3 linked regions of the Rhinolophus ferrumequinum genome follow. The protein of the gene in region 1 interacts with the protein of each later gene in a biochemical or structural test. Links are inferred from orthologs where the notes say so. Each region holds a gene or a part of one and is shown in the gene's direction. Other genes may lie near its edges. The genes, in order: HTRA2, CSN2 and MAPK12.

The links.
Region 2: of the proteins of HTRA2 (region 1) and CSN2, one has a biochemical effect on the other in vitro, tested with the Homo sapiens proteins (2 studies listed by BioGRID). The link is inferred for Rhinolophus ferrumequinum from reciprocal best matches to the Homo sapiens genes HTRA2 and CSN2.
Region 3: of the proteins of HTRA2 (region 1) and MAPK12, one has a biochemical effect on the other in vitro, tested with the Homo sapiens proteins (2 studies listed by BioGRID and IntAct, with this or other methods). The link is inferred for Rhinolophus ferrumequinum from reciprocal best matches to the Homo sapiens genes HTRA2 and MAPK12.

What each region holds. Positions count from the first base shown.
Region 1 is NC_046296.1:17,529,278-17,537,027, reverse strand, and holds HTRA2 (serine protease HTRA2, mitochondrial), read left to right. Parts: upstream 1-4,711; 5' UTR 4,712-4,733; coding exon 4,734-5,239; intron 5,240-5,338; coding exon 5,339-5,543; intron 5,544-5,628; coding exon 5,629-5,823; intron 5,824-6,060; coding exon 6,061-6,129; intron 6,130-6,323; coding exon 6,324-6,429; intron 6,430-6,553; coding exon 6,554-6,623; intron 6,624-7,300; coding exon 7,301-7,396; intron 7,397-7,497; coding exon 7,498-7,663; 3' UTR 7,664-7,695; downstream 7,696-7,750. Other genes in the region: ATP-dependent RNA helicase DQX1, read right to left, coding at 1-12, 270-563; lipid droplet-regulating VLDL assembly factor AUP1, read right to left, coding at 1,533-1,569, 1,679-1,797, 1,984-2,099, 2,214-2,333, 2,467-2,569, 2,667-2,733, 2,975-3,048, 3,143-3,215 and 3 more.
Region 2 is NC_046288.1:28,004,916-28,012,847, reverse strand, and holds the start of CSN2 (beta-casein), read left to right. Parts: upstream 1-4,845; 5' UTR 4,846-4,898; intron 4,899-6,960; 5' UTR 6,961-6,972; coding exon 6,973-7,023; intron 7,024-7,812; coding exon 7,813-7,839; intron 7,840-7,932. UniProt on the Homo sapiens protein: Important role in determination of the surface properties of the casein micelles.
Region 3 is NC_046293.1:440,083-447,001, forward strand, and holds the start of MAPK12 (mitogen-activated protein kinase 12), read left to right. Parts: upstream 1-3,879; 5' UTR 3,880-4,189; coding exon 4,190-4,314; intron 4,315-4,415; coding exon 4,416-4,545; intron 4,546-6,919. Other genes in the region: MAPK11 (mitogen-activated protein kinase 11), read left to right, coding at 208-286, 381-554, 875-957. UniProt on the Homo sapiens protein: Serine/threonine kinase which acts as an essential component of the MAP kinase signal transduction pathway.

The sequences.
Region 1 (7,750 bases):
CCACTGAGGAATCTGGGGTAGGGGTAGGGAAGGACAATCAGTCAGCGAGACACAGGACTTCAGTCAGAAGTGCTAGGGGAGCTATGGCCAGTTTAATGTCTTCTTTCTGGGGGGAGTGTCCTGGTCCTTTACCACCCTGGGGCCAGCCTTAACAGACTCCCTTTGCCCACCTCCCCCATAATCCCTGGCAGCCCAATCCCCGCTTGCCAGGGAAGGGCCAGTTCCCTGGCCCCTCCCTCCTGTCTACTCCCAGAATCCCCCCCCCCCACCTGGGTGCTCTTGCCAGAGCCAGGCTCTCCAGACACCAGTACCACTCCACTGGGGCTACTCTCCAATTGCTCCAAGAAGATAAAGCGAGCAGCCCAGATAGGCAAGGCTCGGCGCTGCTCAAGAAGCTCGTAGTAGTGGGAAGAGAAGGGGAGCCCGTCAAAAGGGTTCACAGCCAGTTCAGACTCCCCAGGGCTCAGGCCAGACTCTTCTGCCAGCCTGAGAAGCTGAGAGGCCATGGTGGCTGACTGGCAGGACCTACAGAAGGTGGGGTAGTCATTAAAACCTTGTACCATCTTACCACCTCAGCCCTGATCCCTAATGTGTACCCTCAGCTGGTAATGCACTGGAATCCATTCTTTCCAGCATTTCTTGCCTGCCAGGAAACGGTGGAGAATTGAGTCTCCAAGTAAGGGACTATCAAAAGGGACTATTAACCTGTAGCCAGGTAGTACAAATCCTGGGTCTCTCTGTGAATCTCTGTAATTCAGCGGCAACAGGAGTTATGTGAGACCCGTGGGAAGGTCCCTGGGGGTGGGAGGGAATAGGAAAAGGAATAAGGGGCTGGAATTGAGGAGCAGGGCCACAAGGATCCTGGATTCAAACCTGCTTGCAGCTCTGAGACGTGTCCCGATGGCAGCCAGTTCCAGACCCGCCCAGCCAGTTCCCACCAACCTTGACCAGCGCTAAGTACAAAGGTAAGTTCCGGCCCCACCCTGGGGCTTGGCTCAAACATAATTCTTAAGACTGGTTCTGGGGTGGAACCATTTGCTCCACCTTATTTAACCTAGTCAGGAGCCTATAGAAAACAGGCTCCAGCAACGACTGAGCATGTGTTAACTTTACAGACACCATGTACTGTAAAAGGCATCCTGGGACGTGTAGTTTTGCTGCTATTTCTGCACAAACCTGGGCTGAACACCCCAGTTAGGTCCAGTTGCTGCTTGGTCTTCAGTTGTTACACTTCCTTAATATCACTCATTTTGACACGAGGAGGTGATTTCAGACAGTTCCATTCTGACCATCCCCCCACAGTCCTACAAGGACCACCTTATCCCCCCCCCCACCAAGGGAAAAGGAACGTGCTCAGGAGGCTTTTGAGACCCAGAGAGGCAACAGAGACCTTGAGTGAAAACCCTGAATTTAATGTGACACTGGGGGCAGGCCCATCCCTCCCTTTCTACCACCCACCCATCAGGCCTGTTGTGAGTTGGGTGAGGGCTGCCCCCAGTCTCCGTCCTGCGGCTCTGGGTACCATCCTGTGCTCAGTCAGCCTCCTGGGCCTGTCTCTCTGTGAATCTCCTGTGGGACATAGGGAGAAGACATTGTGTGGGCTTTGTCATAGTAGTTCTGTAATTAGCTTCCTTCTCCAACCTGCCCCTTCCTACCCATTGTCCTCGAAGCCCCTCACCTTCTTGCGTATTCGTATAGTGCTTGTTTGCGCTCCTGTAGGCTCTCCTGCCGGGCCCAGGAGGATTTGGCAAATGTTAGGGCTGTGGGCTGAGGGGTCACCGGGCCAGAGCTGGGAAACTGAGGTGATCACAATGTCAGAGGGCTTGCGAAGTCATCATCATTAAACACGCATCGAATGCCTACTTTGCAAGAGAGGCACTGGGCTAGGGTCTCAGGATCAAAAAAGAGACATCAGGGATAGGGAGTATGTAGAGTGCCCCATCCCACCCCAAGTCTTGGATCGGACCATTTCCTGGGTCTCACCTGGGGGGCAGAGGCTGCGGGATGGGACTGGGTCCCCTCAGTGATGTCTTCAGGCATGAAAGCTACAGCCCCCTCAAGCAGATTGGTGATGGTCAAGTCTACGCAGCCAGTCCTGGCTGGGGAGAAGGGAAGGAGGAAAGGGGATCTGTTGCGCTGTTCATCCTTTTCCCTCACCACCCATTTGTCCTCTCTGTCCCTGTCTTCTTTTGTGAGGCTACCCTTTCCCATACCCAGGTCTCTCTGGATGACGACCAGTGGCACATGGGGTAAAACCTCCTTGACTCTCTGAGCCAGAGTTGCCAGCTGCACATCAGGAGAAGGGCCCGGGGAGGGAGGGAAAGAAGATTGGGCTGCAAAAAAGAAATCCGAAATATGGTGAATGGAGAATGAGTAGGAAGGAGAGTCTGACTAGTACAGGAATAGGGAAGAAATCATAATAGGCTGGGAAAAAAACGAAAAGCTTTGTGTACAGCGACCACACACCTGACTGGGGGCGCAATCTAGGATGTCTTTGCCGCTTCATGTGCTCTGCTTTGTCTGCTGGAGTGAGTCGTGTTCCTGTCTGGCCCAATTTTTTGGCCACCAGCTAGGAAGAATTGGAAGGTTGGAAATGTCAAGGTTTCAAGCCTTCCTCCCCGTCTAAGGAGAGACCCCACCTCCAGCCTGCTTCTGTATGCTACCACCTGTTGTACACGGAAGGCAAACTCCTCATTCCCCTCTCCCAGCTGGCGATGAACAGGACGGAGCCACCTGAAAAAAACAATCAGGGCTATGTTGAGGGCAGCTGGGGCAGTCACCCTCTTCCCCACTTTGATTCCTCTTTTCATGGAACTATGGTGGTGAGGGTGGGGAGAGAATAAATACTTTGTACTGCCTCTGTGTTGGAAACTTGATATTAAAAAGATCTGCAAATGGATAGGGCAGAGGCAACTACTTCCTTGATCTTGAGGTGAGCTTTTCCCAGCCACCAAAAAGTGAAGACAATTAATACCTTACTTGATACACCGTGAAAGGAACAAACAGTGACCACAGCAGTTCTGAGACCCAGGAGGCATCTGACACTGTCTGAGGGGAAAGCACGAAGTGAGGTCTAAGTCAGGCCGGGACTGGGAAGCTTCATCCCAAAGCCCCGGGGAGTCCCTATCCAAGACACACTCACCACAGAGACTAGAGGTCTCTGGACTTGCAGGGTAAGAGGCTGTACCACATCCTGGATAGAAAATGGCCAGGAACTAGAAGAGGGAAGAGAGAATAGGACGGGATTTCAGCCAGTCCAGTTAGTAGCTCATATCTAACTTAAAACAGAAAACTGTCAAACTGTGTACCAAGTAGATGAATGAGGAATATAGGGATTCAGGGGAAGGAACCAAAAGTGGACAGAAAGGAACTAGAAATGGAGGGGGTAGGGCTGAAGAAGTGTGAAAAACCCAAGGGCCCCCCACGCCTGACCACCTACCCAGTCAGAGTCAAATACCTGTGTTCGTTCACCCACCTGAAGCGCAGGAGCCCCTCCCGGCCATTGGTGGCCTCTTCCTCTGGGAATAGCAGCAGAGGGGTAGGGGGAAGCCTCGTGGAAGCACAGAATCTCTTGAGTGACTCCACCAACTCCCCCCGCCCATCCATCTCCATGAAGCCCCGAGACCAGCATACAAAGCTGGGAGGACTATTGAGTAGAGGCTGGGAACAGGGAAGAGAGAAAGCAAGAAGAATGTTGGGAAGTGATAAAAACTGACATCTGGGGTAGAGAAGCGGGGTTAGCGTTAAGGCGCAGTATCTCGTGGTCCCCAAGGGAAGCCCGGGCGGGCAGAGGGAAGCCTTATGTTGGGCCCCAGGGAACTGCCCGTGGCACTCTCGGCTTCGCCCCCCACTCACGGTACTACAGCTGGTGAGCAGGTTGACTATGTTGTGGTCGAAAGGTGTCACGTGGTTGGAAATGAGGACCCTGACGCGGTGATCCCGGAGTTCGGAGTCCTCCTGCCGGGCCACGAGCCCTAGCACCGCACACATGGTCCGTACCACGAACCTGGGGACGCAGGCAGTGCTGACTGCACGGCCGTCGGCCCGGCCCAGCCTTGACCCTCCCCGAGCTCCCGGGTCGGAACCTGCGAAGGACGCTGTCTGGCAGCGCGCAGCTGACCAGGAAGACGTGGATCCCAAGAAAGAGGCGCAGGACAAGGAGACAGAACCCGACGGGCGCGTAGAGCAGCAGCGCTAGGAGCAGGAAGCCGTCACCCGGGAGCCTGGGGGCAAGAGGTGGGGTGATCGGGCGGCCGAAGGCCGAGTGGACGCGGGAGCCGGCCTCTTCCCGCCGGGAGTCTTACCGGTGCGAGTCAAAGAGCCGCTCCGGCCCCGGTGCCGGGGGAGGTTCCATCGCGGCTGCTTTAGGGGTGTTTGGTCACTGCCGCCATCTTCGTGCCCCGCCGCAGGGGCTTCTGGGAAGGAGGAGTCTTCCGGCGTGGGCCTCGGGTGCCAGGACCCGAAATCCTGAGGCGCCCCGGAAGGGCTAGCGGCCCCAGCATGCCTCGCGGGCCCTTGGGACACCTCAGTGCTCGCGTCCCTCAGAGACCACAATTCCCGGCATTCACGGGGCGGGGGCGGAGTCGGCCTCCCGGAATAATCCGGGTCCCGGCGTGCACTTCTAGAGGACTTCAGGTACCAGCGTGCCACGCGTCCCACGGTCCGCCAGCTCACGTCCATCCAGGGCGCCGCCTCTGTGTAGGGCGGGCGAGGAGGCAGCCGAGGCGGAGCTGATGGCTGCACTGAGGGCGGGGCGGGGTGCAGGCTGGAGACTCTGGGGATGGCGGGCTTTGGGGGGGGTTCGCTGGGGGAAGGGACCCCTGTTGACCCCTGACCTCCGGGCCCTACTGATGTCAGGAACTCCTGATCCTCGGGCCCTAATGACTTATGGGACTTCCAGGCTCCGGGTCCGGTTGTCTGTAGGGGTCCCTGGACCACGGACATGCCTGACGTCCGGGATTTCGGATTCCCGAGCACGGCTGACTGCGGGGACCCCAAGTCCCCAGACCCGGGAGAACTCAGGGAACCCTGGAGCCCGTCCGCGCGTGTGGCTAGCGGTGGCACTGGGCGCTGGAGGAGCAGTGCTGCTGTTGTTGTGGGGCGGGGGTCGGGGTTCCCCGGCTGTCCTTGCCTCTGTCCTTGGCTCGCCACCCACCTCTCCCCGGAGCCAGTACAACTTCATCGCAGACGTGGTGGAGAAGACGGCACCTGCCGTGGTTTATATCGAGATCTTGGGCCGGTAACGGTGGGGTAGTTCTGGAGGCACCGAAGCCGCGGGCAAGAGGGCGGGCGAGCAGGAGGGGTACGAGCTCCTCACCGTGCCTTCCCCCTATCCCAGGCACCCTTTCTCAGGCCGCGAAGTGCCTATCTCGAATGGCTCAGGATTCGTGGTGGCTGCTGACGGGCTCATCGTTACCAACGCCCATGTAGTAGCTGATCGGCGCCGAGTCCGTGTGAGGCTGCCTAGCGGCGACACGTATGAGGCCATGGTCACAGCTGTGGATCCCGTGGCAGACATCGCCACGCTGAGGATTCAGACCAAGGTGGGGATCCGAGCAGGCCGGGTCTGGTTGGGGCTGTTTGCTTGCATCGCCAGGTGACAGGTCCCTTGTACCCATTCTCCCGTAGGAACCTCTCCCCACACTGCCCCTGGGACGCTCAGCGGATGTCCGGCAAGGGGAGTTTGTTGTTGCCATGGGAAGTCCGTTTGCACTGCAGAACACGATCACATCTGGCATTGTCAGCTCTGCTCAGCGTCCAGCCAGAGACCTAGGCCTCCCCCAAACCAATGTGGAATACATCCAGACTGATGCAGCTATTGATGTGCGTCCTGATATGAGAGAATTGACAGTCTAGGTTGGGGGAGGGGTATAGACTGTGTGGTGCAGGCACCAAGTGGGAGAGACGGTGGATGAGCCTATATATTCAGGTTGAGCTACAAAAATGTGGCCACTCATTCATAGGCTGGGAAAAGAATTTGGAGAAAATGCCTACATCCTGGTTATGCCCCCAGGCATAAGAATCCCTGGATCTTTTCCATATTTTCTCCTTGTCCTGCAGTTTGGAAATTCTGGAGGTCCCCTGGTTAACTTGGTGAGTGGGTCATCCTTTCCAAGAATCCCTGCCCAGGTCAGTGTGGGTCGGGGTGGGTTTTCCCTAATTCAATGATGTTTGGTCAAGTTTCTGAACAGTCCCTTGTTGGCTACCTCCCAGAACCCAACCAGATCTCCTAAACTCCCCAACACTCCCTGCTACTCTTGTTCAGGTACCCCCATCTCCAACTATTTGTTTGGGCTAGGGAACAGTGGGCTCTGTCCCTGCAGGATGGGGAGGTGATCGGGGTGAATACCATGAAGGTCACAGCTGGAATCTCCTTTGCCATCCCTTCTGATCGCCTTCGAGAGTTTCTGCATCGTGGGGAAAAGAAGAGTGAGCCTGGCTTAAGTTGTGGGAAGGGCATTCATGGGGCCTTGCTGGAGAGGGGTGTATTGGGAGGAGAGGGAGGGGAAGGAAGAATGTAGCTGGGTGGGGCTCATTTTTCTCTTTATCATAGATTCCTGGTTTGGAATCAGTGGGTCCCAGCGCCGATACATTGGGGTGATGATGTTGACCTTGACTCCCAGGTATGAGCTTTAAGGATAATGACACATAGGACCATCAGTGTACTCAGTCGTGTGCATTTGCCACTTCATTTGAGCTTTGTTCTCAATTCTGTGTTTATCTGTGGTGAATTGCCTCACACTTGGAGCTATCCGAAGAGCTGTCCTCTCTTGTCATCTTGACTTTCTCATCACGCTGCATTTTGCACACCTGCCACCAGATTGATTTCATCCTATTACTGCTTTGATTTAAAACCTTCAATCTGTTAACCTGGTGTTTAGGGGCCATTTTCCATTTGTCTCCAATTCAACCTTCCTGACCTGGCTTCTTAACATGAATGTATTCTGTTTCAGCCAACCTGATTTCCTACTCCCAGGTTTTTATTTTTGTTGTTTTTGTTTTATATATTTAAATATCAGACCCATCCTTCTAGGCTCAGCTTCAGTTCTACTCCCTCCTTAAAGCTTCTCTTAGGATTTTAGAATGAGATTCGTGCTATTGATTTAACACTGTGTCATTTGGAATTAGGTAACTTTTGTATACACGTCCCACTTCCTAACTACTAGAAGGCAGAAAATGAATTGACTATCTGGAGTACCTAGTGCATACAATTGTCAGTGTGTTGACGAGAGATTTGAGGTGAACCTGAGATGGAGAGGGCATCTTGGTGTGGATAACAGGGTGGTCTGTGTCTTTCCAGCATCCTTGCTGAACTACAGCTTCGAGAACCAAGCTTTCCTGATGTTCAGCACGGCGTGCTCATCCATAAAGTTATCCTGGACTCCCCTGCACACCGGTGAGGGAGACACTGCACTGAGGTGGGGGGCGGAGACACGCATGTACCCTTGAACTGGGGTATCTATTCCCTCCTTTCTCTCTGTCCACCTTTCGCCATAGGGCTGGTCTGCGGCCGGGCGATGTGATCTTGGCCATTGGGGAGCAGTTGGTACAAAATGCTGAAGATATTTATGAAGCTGTTCGAACCCAATCCCAGCTGGCAGTGCGGATCCGGCGGGGACCGGAAACATTGACCTTATATGTGACCCCTGAAGTCACAGAATGAATGGATCAGCAAGAGTATTAGGCTGTTGCTCTGATTTCCACTTTGCTTTCTTGGCCTAGGCTCTGAGGGCACCTGGACAGAGGATTA
Region 2 (7,932 bases), on another chromosome or scaffold:
ATATGGATGATATTTGGAGTTTCTTACAGTTCTTATTTTCTGAACATTTTTGTTCCCTTTAGTGTACTCTTGATCTTGCTTTTCTATCTGCTTTCTTTCTTGAGGGTATTATTAACAGGCTTCAGCTATTACCTTTGCACTTCTACCAAATCTCATGCCTGAATATTTCAGATATGTCACCCAATATGGGAAAGAGCTTGGGGAATAAATTATATTTATGACAAAGAGTCCTAGAACATGTTGCTTTGATTATATTTTGTTCCTCACCTAGGTGTCTTATAAAATTTCAATAGATGAAATTCTTATTTTCCTTATAAAATGGCAACACAAGTTACACATCGGGAGAGCTTGGGTTGCCCACATGGAACCTTGACCCTTACTTATGATTGTGTTCTGATGCTTATGTGGCCAATGGCACCTGGTGTTACTTAAATCTCTGGCTTTTCAATTTTTTATTGGATAAACCTTTTTCTCTAGTGTATTGTTCATGATTTCCTTGATCTAGGTTTTGCATACATTTCCGACCCAAATAAGTCCATAAGTATACTGATTACTGTAATTCAAAATTCGTGGAAAAGAGTCACAAGAAAATGCTGTATTTATTGCACAGTATGTAAGGCGTTTTGCTGATAAAATGAAAAGGAAATATTGAATGGGTAGGGCATGCTTGCTTTTGTATTTCTTTTCTTAGAAATCACACATTTTTGTCTGTGCTCTTGGGAACCAAAGCTAATACATAGGGTGCACAGGGCAGACATGGCCTTTTCAGTTGGACCTATGCCACGAGGGTTATTTCATCATTTCTTTTCATGGCTTCCACCTTGCTCAATACGAACATAGTCTTAGAATAAATATTAGTTGAATAGTTCAAATTCACAATAGACACTGACTTGGGCTTTCTAAGCAATATAAAATATATGACAATTAGGAGTGTACTCTGCCCTCATACATTTAGCATGATATGAATGCAAGTGATATTATGAAGGAAAATCATCAATTATGCCAATATTTTACTTAACCTACTTACTTTGGAAGGGCATCTACCTGTGCTTAAGTCCTGAATATATCTATTACAGGTAGTGAACAGAAGAAAAGAACATTGTGAAAATGAGTAATGTGAAACACAATCAGCCAATTACATGTACGAACATCGATCACTAAAGAGACAAAGAACTTGAAGACTGCTTTTGTAAATAGGCACATATTAAGTACTTTTGAGGCCTGACTCCGACTATTGGGGTACTTTGGGCAAGATCCTGTTCTTCTCTGGGCTTCACTTTCTTTTCTTCCTTCCGTCTTCTGTTCTTCTATGAACATTAGCTGATAAACATTGAACTCACTACAAAATTAGGAGCCCAAACTTGAACAGTCCCGTTTTATTAACGGGCACTGCTATCATTTGTTCTACAGAAGTAGTCACTCTCTAAATGTCACTCTCCTTCCTAAAACCCTTCAACAAATCCCCACTATCCACAGAATAAAATTCATGTTCCTAAGGAGCACAGCATGCCTTGCTCTTTCTCTAGTCTCATTCCATCTACTCCCTTCCTTGAACTTCATGACCCTGATTCACTCCTTGATTTAGTTGTGGTTACTTGTTTCTCATATCCAAAACACTCTTCTTCCTTTCCTTTTAAGTTATAATTCTCTCCCCTCCTCAGGTCAAACACTTCTTCTTCTGGCCTCAAGGTCATTCTCAGGACTCAGGGCTTCCTGAAGATCCTCTTGCCTCCCCTATCCATCAACTAAAATGAACTAGGTATTTCCTTTGTGCCTATTGCCCCTTATCACAGCTTTATTAAAATATGTATTGCATTTCACAACAAGTAGGTTTTCATATTTGGTTTTCATCTTCTCAAGGACAGGAACTATGCCTTTTTATTTGTTGTTGCTTTCTTGGCAACGGGAAAAATGCCTGGCAAACATAGCATTTAGTGTGGAATATATTTCACTGTTTACTGTCAACAACCTTCATGTTCACCTATCTTCAGCGTTCTGCATGCATGACTATTCTTTGGATCAAGTTATCATCCAGAAATTCTCTTCTTCTCTGATGCTGAAATTCCCATCTGATAAAAAGCTCAAATCTCTATTTCTTGAGATTGACCAATCTCATTAGGCCTGGTTTTTGTCTTTTTTCCGATCTCTAGTCCCTCAAGCATTTTTTAGTTTTCTGGTTTATACCTCAACCTTCCTTCCCAGCTCAACCAGTATTTCATGACTAGTTGTTTTAACACAAACACATTCAAGCCCCTCTCTCCACCCCAACAATTCTCTTGACCTATTGATATACTGCCACTATCTTGCCATAAATCTACTTGGATAAGGAAAATAATCTGAGGTCTACTCTCACCTAGTTATTAGTTACTACTGTGGATCTTGTTACTCATCTTTATTTTCACATTAAACAAAAATGTTCGCTATTTTGAGTATCCCAAACCCATAAACACTTCCCTCACTAAGTTGAAAACCCAATCCTCCACCTCACTGGAAAAGTAACTTTCTACCCTGCATTTCAAAGTATGTATTATATTTACTCATCTTCTCCTCCTTTTCTCCTGTGTCAGAAAACCTGGTACAGTCTGTACAGGTCTAAGTCTTTTGGCTGTGACCCTGATCCTACTGGAACCTGCTCCATGAGTTTATTCCCCTCTCTTTGGTATGTTTCAGCAGTTTCTCACCCTTGACCTGTATCTTTTAAGCTACAAATCTCTATCCTAAAATTACCTTTCTGTGATCCTGGTTGTCCCTATAGTCACAGATACCATTCCATAAGTTTCTTTACCCCCTTTTCTTAAATCTCAGAAGAGTAATGCTACTTTTAATTCCTCCCACATTCCTTAGTTCTGAACCAATTGGAGTATAGCTCAATGGTTACAATGATAATGATTCCAGAAATCCAAAATATCTTCTTTGTTTCCACTTTATTCCACATCTGTGTAGCGCTTTCAGTCTTGACTCCACTTGTTTTTTCCTAACTATTTCCTCCCATCGTTCCCATCACCCTCTACTGCCTTCTCCTCGATACTCCATATTTTTCTGATTTGCTTTTGCTGCCCCTGAATCACAGGGTATACTTGAGTTCTATTCTTCGACAATTTCTCTTCTCACTTTTCCTCTGGGGAAATTCATTTATTGCTTTGTCTTAAAAAAAAAGTCATCCATACAGTTGCACTTCTCCTTTGAGCATCATATTTAATTCACAATACCTCCTGGACACCTTCAAATTTACTATGTGTAAGATATCCTCTTTCTCATTTCAGCTTGGTTTCTTATCGTGGTTTATTCCATGTCTTGCTTTTCAATTACCCAGGCATATTCTGTTTATCTATTTCCCCGATTTCTCACATTTCTCATATTTTAATAAGTTTGTCTTCCTGTTGCCTGAGATGCCCCGCACCATGTCTCCAGTTGAGGTCACCAAAACGTTTGTCTTAGACTAGTATAATAACATGATATAACAACCTCCTCTACTAGGTTACGTGAGATATTGCCATAAAGACATACAACCCAAGAAATTTTACAATCCTTCTTTCTTTCAAATCTCCAATATCTTTTCTATTTCCAGTGAATTATGTCACATTGCATATCTGAAATTTCAAAAGCATCCATGATCTGACTCTGTCAAACCCTTACAACAGTAACTTATAGTATATAATCTCTGTGTATCTTAAAACACAAAACCCATCAAAGTTGGTATTTGGCTCTTCAAGCACTATATTTACTTCAGCCAGATACTTTATTCTCATTGACTCATTTTTCAAAATTCTACACATTCTTTTAAGTTCCAACTAAAATAATGACTTCTGAAAGACCAGCTTCCTCTTCCCACACCCGTGCCACTTTCCTCCAACCCAGACATAACAAATCTTACACGTTTAAGCCCAAATGTTAAATTCATAGCTAAATTTTGTAACAAAATCTCAGGAGGTTAAGACATGGGCATTGCATAAAATCAAATAGAAACACATGTAATCAGAGAGATCTGGTTTTAAATGGTATTTTGCCATTAACAAACAATATGATTTTGGCAAGTTACTTAAACTTTTGGTGTCTCAGTTTCTTAAACAAAAATATGGAGAGGAGAACAACCACATGATGTTTTTGTGGCAATAAACAAGATAATATCTAAAAGTGTATAATGCCTGGCAAACTTAAAAAAAAGCTATTATAATATCATGCTTGAAAGAAAAATAGGTAACCAATATTTATCAGGTAACTAAGTCTCCATGACACCTAGCAAAAGTTTTATAATAGATTTACCAAGGATTTTCCCTATACCAGACATCCAGATACCTTTTCTGAGATGTTCCATTTCAGAAGAAGGTTATTCCTCTCGTGTACAAAATATTGGTTCTAAGTAAATGATTTATTGTTTCCAAATGAAATGGCCCTGAGATCTAAGCCATTTGGCTTACATGACTAAGGTGTCATGGATTTATGTTGTCAGTTTCTCCATTGCAGCATAAAACACTAGCAACTGCTTAGTTAACGTGAAATTGCTTGGTGAAGCTCCTGCATATCTCACAAAGAATTCTCAAACAGAGCCTAAGAGACCTAAATGTGTCCTCAGTAACTTGGGGACAGGACCAGATTGTCAGTGTCCTCCAGTAATTGTCTTTAGTTATTAGAGGGTTGTGTTTCCTGGACAGATTTCCTTTATCAGATGTGAATTTCCCCCTTGTTAAACTTTTTCCCAGAATTTCTGGATACAGATATTAGGCAGAAATCATTTTCTAATCCTGTGAACTTCTTAGAATTGAAACTCACTATTGATTTTATTTCAAACCACAAAATTAGCATGTCATCAAATACAGTATATAAACAGCCACAGAAGTGGATAGACCATCATCCACTTAGCTCCTCCATCACTTCTTGTCCTCCACTTTGGATAAAAGGTAAGAATTTCAGATATAAATTTGATGTATCCCTTCTATAGGTTTATTTCAAACTTGGTTGAGATATCTGAAGAAAATATTTGCTTCAGTATAGTTTTGAAATAAGGGTACTTAAAGTAGCACTCACATTATTTTCAACACTTAGATTTAAAGAAGTAGAAGTGTCTATAAATATTTGTAAAAATTATAATGACCACATAAGCTTTATGAGTCTAAGAAAATGTAGTAATAGCGGTTACAGTTTTTTTTTAGTACAAGGCTAGTTAACAGACTATATTAAAAGATCAATTTCCTGAATTAAATGTCTTCCAATTTAATTAAATATACCACAATCATAAAACTAAATATATTTAAATTATTATATGGGATATGAATAATTATTGGGAAAGCTTTATCCAAGGTAGCTTATAGAGGTAGCATATTGAGTTAAGAAATTGTGGGAGTTGTTTGGGTACAGGCACTACTTGAACTGTTTATGAGTAATTTTTCTTAGAATTTGTTTACAAAATGCATCAAATTTGTAAACAAAAATTTGATCAAATTTGTTTACAAATTGCAACATCTCACTTTATTGTTTGATATGTAATATTTCAAAATAATATTAAAATGAACACGCAATACAGAATTGTTAAAAAGGAACAAAGTATTTTGCTGTATAAAAATATTCTAGAAGAGACAGGGATGACTTGGAAACAAAAACAAAGGAAAAAGATTTGAAGGGAAGAGTACCTTAGAATATATTATTCAATAACATAGTTCTGGCTTTAAAATTGGTATATAAAACGCTAATTATAAAACATAGAAAATACAATAGAATCTTTCCTACCCATTATAATGTCTAATAGTGTAACATAGTCTTCTTTTAAACCTGACAATGAAAAATTATTTTGAAATTTATGGAGGTGTTAAGCAAAGTAAAATTAATAAAGAATTATATTGCACCCATGAGAAAAATCTAGAAAAATATATTTCTTCCCTGATAAAGAAAATTATTTTCAGCTTTCAAATATTGGAAAGAACATTTTGCAGGTGAATTAGGGACTTTTTTCATGAAACATTTTTAGTTCAGAAATTTAGTTTAAAAATTTGGGATTAAAGATTGTATGTCAAGGGATATTGGGGACATAAACATTATAGGAATTTTAAAAAATGAACCATTTGGTACCTTTTGGTCAAAGCTGTTAACATATATTTTATGTTATGCTACAAGAAGTGGTAGCCTGGAGTGGGGACTGGGCAAGAGAACCTGATCCTTGGGTAAATCATTAAGAGATCAGAGAGAAAAGAAGAGCCATCATGTATGGTCTCTAAAGTTATATGGCACAAAGGAGAAGAGACATCATTAGGTGTGTGCCGATGAAGACTGTGTAGTGGGTATAAATAGAGAAAAAAAGAACAAACAAATCAGTTCACAAAAGCATCTGGATAAATGGAGCAAATAAGAGAAATGCTCAAATAATAATCTGTCTTATTGGAAATAAAGAGATATGTTTAAACCAAATAATCATGGAAACTGTAACAGAAAGGTAAAAGTAAAATAGGATCTTCTTCTATGTATACATTTTCTTTGATCAGTCTCTTCCCAATAGAACTGAGGACTCACCAGGGCTGAGACCTTAATATTTTGTTCTCCGCTATAATCCTAGCACCTAGACAGCATCTGGCAATAAAGGGTGCTAAGTAAATACTCACTTTTGAATAAATGAATCAATTGATAAAGCTTTCTGCAAATATTTATAAGTTCTTTCTGGCCTTTTAAAAAAACAAAACCTCATAGTACAGTGAATGAGATGAAAAAATGTGAGATGGGATAGGGTTGATAACTGAAAAAATCTGAATGGCGGCCAGTGAAGTATGAAATTGATATGTAAGAGTAAAGAGCCATAGTAGATTTTGACCTTGGTTATATGGTAAACTCCTATTAGTGTTTTCTTCTAAAATGCAGACATTTTAATTTTATATTATTTTTGGATTCTTTAAAAGAAAAGTAGCCCTGCCTAAATAAAAAATATTAGATTGACCACTATATTATATTACCATTCCCTCATTTTCCCATTCACAGGACTTGATAGCCATGAAGGTCCTCATCCTTGCCTGCCTGGTGGCCCTTGCTCTTGGTAGGGAGGTAAGAAAATCTCTATATATTTAACATATGGACTATCTGTCCATGTGTAGAGAACGACATCACTAACATTTTAAGTGTACAAATAAAGCAGAATTTTAACAGCTTTTTTTTTTTTTTTTTTTTTTTACTTCTAAGAAAATCATTTATATTTACCCACTATTTCAACAGTGTCCTATAAAGACACAAATCTGGGTTAAATGCTTTCTACACCTGTGCCACTAATGGAAAAATGAACGAATCAATAAGCAACAGACAGAACAAGAAGAAACAAATATGAAAATGAAAACAACAAAATAAAATATTGCACAAGTACAATTGCATAAATGTGTAGCCTAGATAAATATATCTTATTCTCGTGATGAAACTTACGTACCTCTTACCCTAGGGCACGAGGCCAAATCCTACCTGTGTCTATCCAAAGACATCCAGAGGATGGAATATCAGACCATAATCATAATCATAAACATGTTTTTAATCATAATATAACTATTTAATACAAATTAAAATAACTTCTTTTCTGTTACCCTTAAAAAAATTGTTCTTCATTCAGGTAAAATTAAAATATACCATTAGAGTCACCAAATATAAAAGACATAAAAACGATTACCTTTAAAGGCTCTAACAAAAGACATTAACATAAATAACATAAATAAAAAATATATTTCTTAAATTTGTGAACGAGATAGCTCTGCATTAAAAAGGTAACAAGGAGGAAAAATGTTTACTAATGAGCAAGCTATGGAAACCAAAATGGTGTTTTTCTGTTTTTGTTTTTCTTTTTCTTTACAGAATGTAGAATTCAGTGTATCCAGTGAGGTAAGATATTTTTATTCAGAGAAAATTTTTCAACCATAAAATAATAACACTCTTTGATGATCTAGGAGAAGCCAGTTGTTGATTTTGTTGTTT
Region 3 (6,919 bases), on another chromosome or scaffold:
TGACAACAGTGCCCTGGCCAAGGCACTGGGAGTGAGATGCTGGAGCCACCAGAGGCAAAGGAGGTGGTCTCTGCTCCATGCAGGTCCCTGCCCAGGCCTGTTGGACTGCATGAGAGTGGGGCTTTCTCTCAACGAGCCCCTGCCTAGTTTGGGGCCAGGGTAAATAGGGTGTGAGCAGCCCCCTCAGGCCCTTCCATGTGCCCACAGGCCCGGACATACATCCAGTCCCTGCCCCCCATGCCCCAGAAGGACCTCAGGAGCATCTTCTGTGGAGCCAACCCCCTGGGTGAGGATGGGCCCTGGGTCTGGGCTGGGCTCCACGTCTGGCCCTGGATGCAGAGCTGCCCTCCAGCCCCTGCCTTCCCCTGACCACTCTGCAGCTGTGGACCTCCTGGGAAGGATGCTGGTGCTGGACAGTGACCAGAGGGTCAGTGCAGCCGATGCCCTGGCCCACGCCTACTTCAGCCAGTACCATGACCCGGATGATGAGCCCGAGGCCGAGCCCTACGATGAAAGCGTTGAAGCAAAGGACCGCACTGTGGAGGAGTGGAAGGGTGGGCAGGGGGGCCGGGCGGGGGTGGGAGAGGTGAAACCCAGGGCCTGAGGGCTGCCTTCCCGTGGAGGCCTGTGCGGGAAGTGCCTTAGCTCCTCAGGGTGGTCTGGGAGGGGCACAACGTGGCCCCCAGCTCTGGGGTGGGGCGGTTAGAGATGGGGTTGGTGTGTCCAGAAGAGGCCGGGGAAGCATGGGGCAGGCTCTGGAAGGCCCGTGGACTGAGGGTGGTGGGCCTGGCTGGGTGACTGGCACCAGACAAGCAGATGCGCAGTGCTGAGCTGCTGGAAGCATGAGTTCAGCTTTCCCCTCACTCCCCTCCAGAGCTCACCTACCAGGAAGTCCTCAGCTTTAAGCCCCCAGAGCCACCACAGCAGCCGTCTGGCAGTCTGGAGATTGAGCAGTGACAGGAACACTGCCGGCCAGCCACACTGGAACTCAAGGAGGGGACTGCACCTGCCTGCCCCCCTTCCTCAGCCTGCCGGGTTCCCACAGGGGTGCCTCCCAGCACCACTGTGGCTGGCAGCCTTGACCCGTGGCCTGGGACCCCTGGTCAGCACGATGCTCCAGGTGGGATGCTGCATGTGTGCCAGCCGTGGGTGCAGGAGTCTGGGCCGAGCATGCCGGCCCTCCTTGGTCCTCCTGCCCCCTCCCTTGGAGCCTCACTGTGGGGGGGCCTGGATGCCTAGGGAATCCCCCTGGGGAGTGTGTCTGTCTCCAGGTCTCCTCAGTCCGTGGGTTACCTTTAGGGGGTGGTGCATTGGAGTCAGGGTACTCTGAAGACTCAAAAGAGGAGGGGTCTCAGTGGTCAGAGCTGCTCAGCCTGGGAAATGCTGAGATCCAAAGCCGTCGTTGCTGGGCAGGGTCTCCCCTGGAGGGTGTCAGGGCAGGGACAGCCACCAAGTGTCGAATCAGAAAATCCGCCTGGAGTCGTGTTTCCCTGTGCTGTGTGGTACAAATGCACTAATGTGTGTCCTGGTATTTACATGTCAAGGTGTGTGCAGGCATGTGTGAGTCTGTGGGTGCCTGAGGGCTAGTGGCCATGACCAGCTGGAGGCTCAAGTTGGGGTGGCTATATTTGCCTCCCCCCAGTTTCTGATGTCATGGGGGATTTGCTGAGATCCTGCTGTGCACCCTGTGAGGGGCTCAGGTGAGCAAGGTGCAGCCATGCTAGCAAAAGCTGGGGCGTTCTCCTTGAGTTTCTGAGGCATGAGGGCACGGTGCCAGCTGGGGAGCTAGCGAGCACGGGAGGGGCCGGGGGGACGCTAAGGGGGCTGGCACACATCGAGGTGGACCTGGACTCGGACCCTGGACCTTGGCCCAGAGCTGATGAAGACACCTCTGCCTGTTCTCAGAGCTGAGGTGCTCTGGTCTGCGGGTCGGCCCTCATCCTTCCCGCCAGAATGGAGCTGACCTAGTCACCTCTGGGACAGGACCCTGCTCCAAACGCATTGGGGCTGTGGGTCCTCCCTCGAGGGACTTCTGTGTCAGATGGTGCTGTCAGGTGGTGACCTCGCAGGACCCAGGGAGGTCTGAGTGTCAAGGGCACGCACCAGGCTCTCGCAATAAAGGAAGTTCCCCCTCGTTCAGCTGTGTCCCAGGCTTCAAGAGCTGCCCTGCTGCCCCCACTGCCCGAAGGGGTGGCCAGGTCTCTGCATCACACACCCACCTGGCCTGGCCTGCACCCACAAGAGGCCTGCACTGGCCAGATCACTTGGGTACCCAGATCTTCAGCACCCTCTGTGCTTTACCCAGCCAGGGGCCCTGAGGGGCAGAGTGTGATGGCCTCCCACACCCGAGCCTGCTGCCCTGCTGGGGGTTCATTGGACAGGCTCAGCGCCTGGTCCAGATCCAGACTGCCCCTTCACTCAGTGGTCAGGGAGGCGGCCGGGCACGAAGGCCTGCCCTGCCTGGAGCTGGGTGGGGTGGAGGAAATAGCCTTCCTTCCTAGTTAAGGGGAAAGAGGATCATTTCAGCTCTCCAGATGCACACTGAGCTACTGGCCTCTACTGCTCACTGCAGCTCAGGTGGGGGAGGGCCTGGGCCCCAATGGGCGTCAGGCAGGGTGTCTCCACGGCAGGGACATTCTGTGTCCTTACCCTGGGCTTTAGAGGTGGAAACCATCTGGGAGTTGGACCTCTAGGGGCCTGGTCAGCAGGACTACTGGGCTTCAGATCTTGGGGAACCTGGAGATCAAGCTGGGCCAAGTCTTGTGTGTGTGGGGTGGGGGATGGCAGCAGGGCTGAGATGCCCCACCTGGGGGTCTGGTCTGAATGGGAACCCTGCTGGGCCGCACCAGAGAGTAAGGGGGCCAGGTGGGAGCTTCCTGGCCGAGGCAGGTGGAGTGCCACAGGCAGCCCAGGACATGAGGGCATGGGGTACAGTTGGTTGTGGCTCCAGTAACCCCAGGCTGTCCCCACTGGCTAGTCTCCAGCTCCTGAGTGCTCAGAATCGCCAGCCAGTCGGCAGACCAGGTGTAAAGCTGGCTGGCTGGGCTTGAGCTGCTGATTCATGGTGGCTGGCTGGGCACAGAGGGCGGGGCAGGGGCCCCGGGGTCCTGTAACCCCGCTCCCTCTCAGACCTGGGTCACTGGGCTGGGAGAGGATGTGGGAAGGGGCTGGGGGCTCTATCCTTCAAAAGTGGCTGGTCCAGGATGGGGACGTGACCTGGCTCATGAAAGGATGGTGCCCCATGGAGGAGTAGCGAGGTGCTGAGAGCCAGGGTAGGGCCCTGCTTCACCCCTGGGGTCAGGCACACCTTCCCCAGCGAACGGAGAGGCTGGAGCAGGGCTCTGAAGGACAAACGGGGCAGTAAGCTGTGTGTGGGGGGAGCAGGCAGAGGAACTTGGAAGTGCTTGGAGCAGGCTCCCACCTGCCAAACTGAGGAGAAGCAAAGAGCACTGGCAGTGCACAGGTCCACACGCTCCAGCTCCAGGGTTTGGGAGGCCTGGGGTCAGTGGTCACCGGGAAGGGTGTTGGGGATGCAGCCTAAGTGCGGGAGGCAGAACCAACTACCCACCTTGGGAAGGGGCACCCATACTGGGGGATGGACGGATCAGCACAGGGAAGGGGGCCTCCTGGGGGTGGGGATTTGACTTTGGGAACACAGCGCTCAGCTAAGGGGGGGGTCGGATGGGGGGTGGGCAGTGACCTGGCTGGGGACAGAAGTCCTGTGGGCTCAGCGCCCTGGGGACAGGGCTAGTAAGACCGGGGCCCCTGCTAAGACACCCCACGCGCAGGCGGGGGAGTTCAGCCCGACTGAGGAGGCGGCGGGTCTCAGACGCCGCGTCCGGTCCGAGGTTGGGCTGAGCTGCGGGCGGCGCTCCCCCCACCACCCCCTCCCGCCTTCCCGGCGGCCGCCGCCTCGGGTTTCCGGAGAGGCTGGAGGGCGGGCGGGGGTATCACGTGCGCGCGGCCCTGGGGCCGGTTGGTCCGCAGGCAGGGGAGGAACAGGGCGCTACCCAGGCAAGGTTGGGGTCGGGCCGGGGTCGGCGGCTCAAGCGAACCGGAGGAAAGAACCCGGAGCGGAGTAAACGCGCGGTGGCCCCGGGCGCTCGCCCAGGGAGTCCCGCCGATCCCGGCCCGGTGCTCGGGCGCGGCGCCCGAGGGGTCTGCGGCGGGGCCGGCACCCGGTCCGGCCATGAGCTCTCCGCCGCCCGCCCGCAGGGGCTTTTACCGCCAGGAGGTGACCAAGACCACCTGGGAGGTGCGCGTGGTGTACCAGGACCTGCAGCCCGTGGGCTCCGGCGCCTACGGCGCCGTCTGGTGAGCGCAAGCCGGGCGGGGTGGCCGGCCGTGTGGCCGGCCAGTTGGCGGGTATCCGGGCGGGTTGGCCCGACCCTCCCGCTAAGCCGTGCGTCCCGCAGCTCGGCCGTGGACAGCCGCACAGGCGCCAAAGTGGCCATCAAGAAGCTGTACCGGCCCTTCCAATCGGAGCTGTTCGCCAAGCGCGCCTATCGAGAGCTGCGTCTCCTCAAGCACATGCGCCACGAGAACGTGAGTCGCGCTGGGCCTCCGCTCTGGACACCCGTCCATCGCCTCTGCTCGTCTTCCTGCCCCAAAACTCCAGGTCCCACCTACCCGGACCCCCTGTGTGGTGCCGCGTAGGTGGGGGTCAGGGCAGCCTCTGGAGAAGGGTGGGGGCTGCAGGTGGTGAGGGCAGAGCCCACCTCTTTCTGAGAGACTTCCCTGGGGTCTAGTCCTCTCCTCCCAGGCCAGTCTTTGGGAAGGTGCCTCTGCTTCTTCCTGGGGTCACGTCTGTCTCCGCAGCCCAGGCCCTGGTGAGGGGATGGACGCTTGTCCAGGCTGAGGCCATTGTCCAGGTCTCACCCCAAATTCTGTGGAGCTATTTTCCTGGAAGGGACACCCCCGCAGCCTCACCCAGATGCTCTCCTGAACTCACCGTGCTCCAGTCCATCTCCTGAGCAGCAGCCCCAGGACCTGGGGTCCCTGGGAATGCAGAGCTAGGCATGGAATTGGAGTCAGCATCCTGGCTCTGTCACCTCAGAGCCTTGGGGTCTCCGGTGGTGGAGGACACTGGGCCAGTGGCCAGCACACAGATGCTTCCTTCACAGCTCTGGCTGGGGTTTTGTGGACAGTGTGGAGGGCTGGACCTGGGCCCCCACCTGGGAAAGTCCCCCACCCCCATGCTTCCAGACCTGTCCATGGGACACCACACATGTCTGCCATGGGCCTCTCTGGTGCCATTGCTGGCTGCTAAGAGCCTTCCTCTGCCATGGGATTTCTCCTTGCTTCCCCCAGGGGATGAGAACTCTGCCCACCCCCACTCCCCAAGCCACTCCTGCCTCATGCCCAGTCTGGGCCGTCTGAGGGCTTGTGGTCTGGGCACCCAGGCCCTGGCTAATCATGCTCCTGACATATGGTCTGGCCCCTCCTGGGTCATTGGAGCCCACAGCCTCCCCTCGGGATGAGGAGTCCCCAGGAAACTTGTCCCCTGGGTTTCTGGCTGATGCCTACCCTCTTAGCCCCTTGGGTAGGTCCTTCATTCTCCCAAGTTTCCCATCACCACCCTTGGCTCTTCCCAGGTGACATCCACTCGTGGTGGACACCAGCGCAGCCTGGGCTTTATTACATCCTGGTCACGCCTGTGCCTTGACCCCTTCCTCTACCAGGCTTCATTTGGCTTTCCCCCCCGCCCCCCCGCACACACACTCCCACCACCCATCCTGCCCGTCCCAAGGGCTCTGGACTTTGTGTTCAGTCATCTGTGCTGGGGCCGCCCCCATTGTGCCAAGGGTCTTACCATCCCTGTGGAGCTCCTGACCTGCCCAAACTGGACATTGCCATGTCCTGAGCACCCTGCACACAAGCTGGGAGGCGCCGCCTATCGTGAGCCCATTTTCCTTGGAGGACACTGAGGCTCTGAGAGGCTGACTGCAGTGGTGGTGGGGACTCACATGTCCCGCTCCTGCCCCTCCCCCCCACTCCGGCTGCCATCTCTACCTCAGAGGCACAGAAGTCTCCATTAACCTGATGGCCCCTTAATCTCAGGGACTCTGTCCTCTGTCCTCTTCTTGCTCAAACACTCTCCCAGTGCCCCAGGCCTCACCTCTCTGGGTGTCCTGCTCTGCTCCCTCCTCCCCGCTTGCTCATGGCTCTGGCCCTGGTGGTCATCTAGCTGTCCCTTCACCTCATGTCCACTCTCGCCTCACTCCGGTCTGTCCCCACATTCAACATAATGCCTGTTTAAACCCTTTCTTGGCGGCTGTAGGACCAAACCCAAACCTCCACCTGGCATGTGAGGGCTTGCTTAGGCTCCCTCTGATCTCTGCGTGGTGACTCCCTGGCCTGGCCCTCGGCCACCTGGCCTTCCTCACCATGTTTCTCAGATGCTCCAAGTGTTCTCCATCCTGCCTCCGCTACCATTCACATTGCCTCTGCCAGGTGTCCCTGCCACCCATGGCTCACCAGCGTGCTCCTTCGGCTACTCGGATATGCAGGCCTCACTGGGTCCTTGGACACCCTGTCACCCTGAGCCCTGGGCTCCCATTGTCACATTACCTGTCTGCTGTCCCTCAGTCCTGACCAGGGGTCTGCAGGACCAGGTCTGACTGTTGGTTTGGTCATAGTGCTGCCTGCCTGGGCCTCTCCAGCAGAGGCACAGCCCTGAGAAGTACCTGCCGGATGTTTGCTCTCCCCTGGGAGGCTGTCCCCATCCTGGTCCTAGGTCTTCAATGGGGACAGGAAGAAGGGGAGGAAGGGCCAAGGAACTGGAGCTCCTTGGACGGCTGGGAGCTGATCCAGATTAGGGGGCCGCCCCTCCCCTGAGGATCCCGGCTGTCACTGTCCCAAAATAGCCTGGCAGGTGTGCCAGGGCCACGTCAGTGCTGCCAGTAGGTAGAGCCAGGCC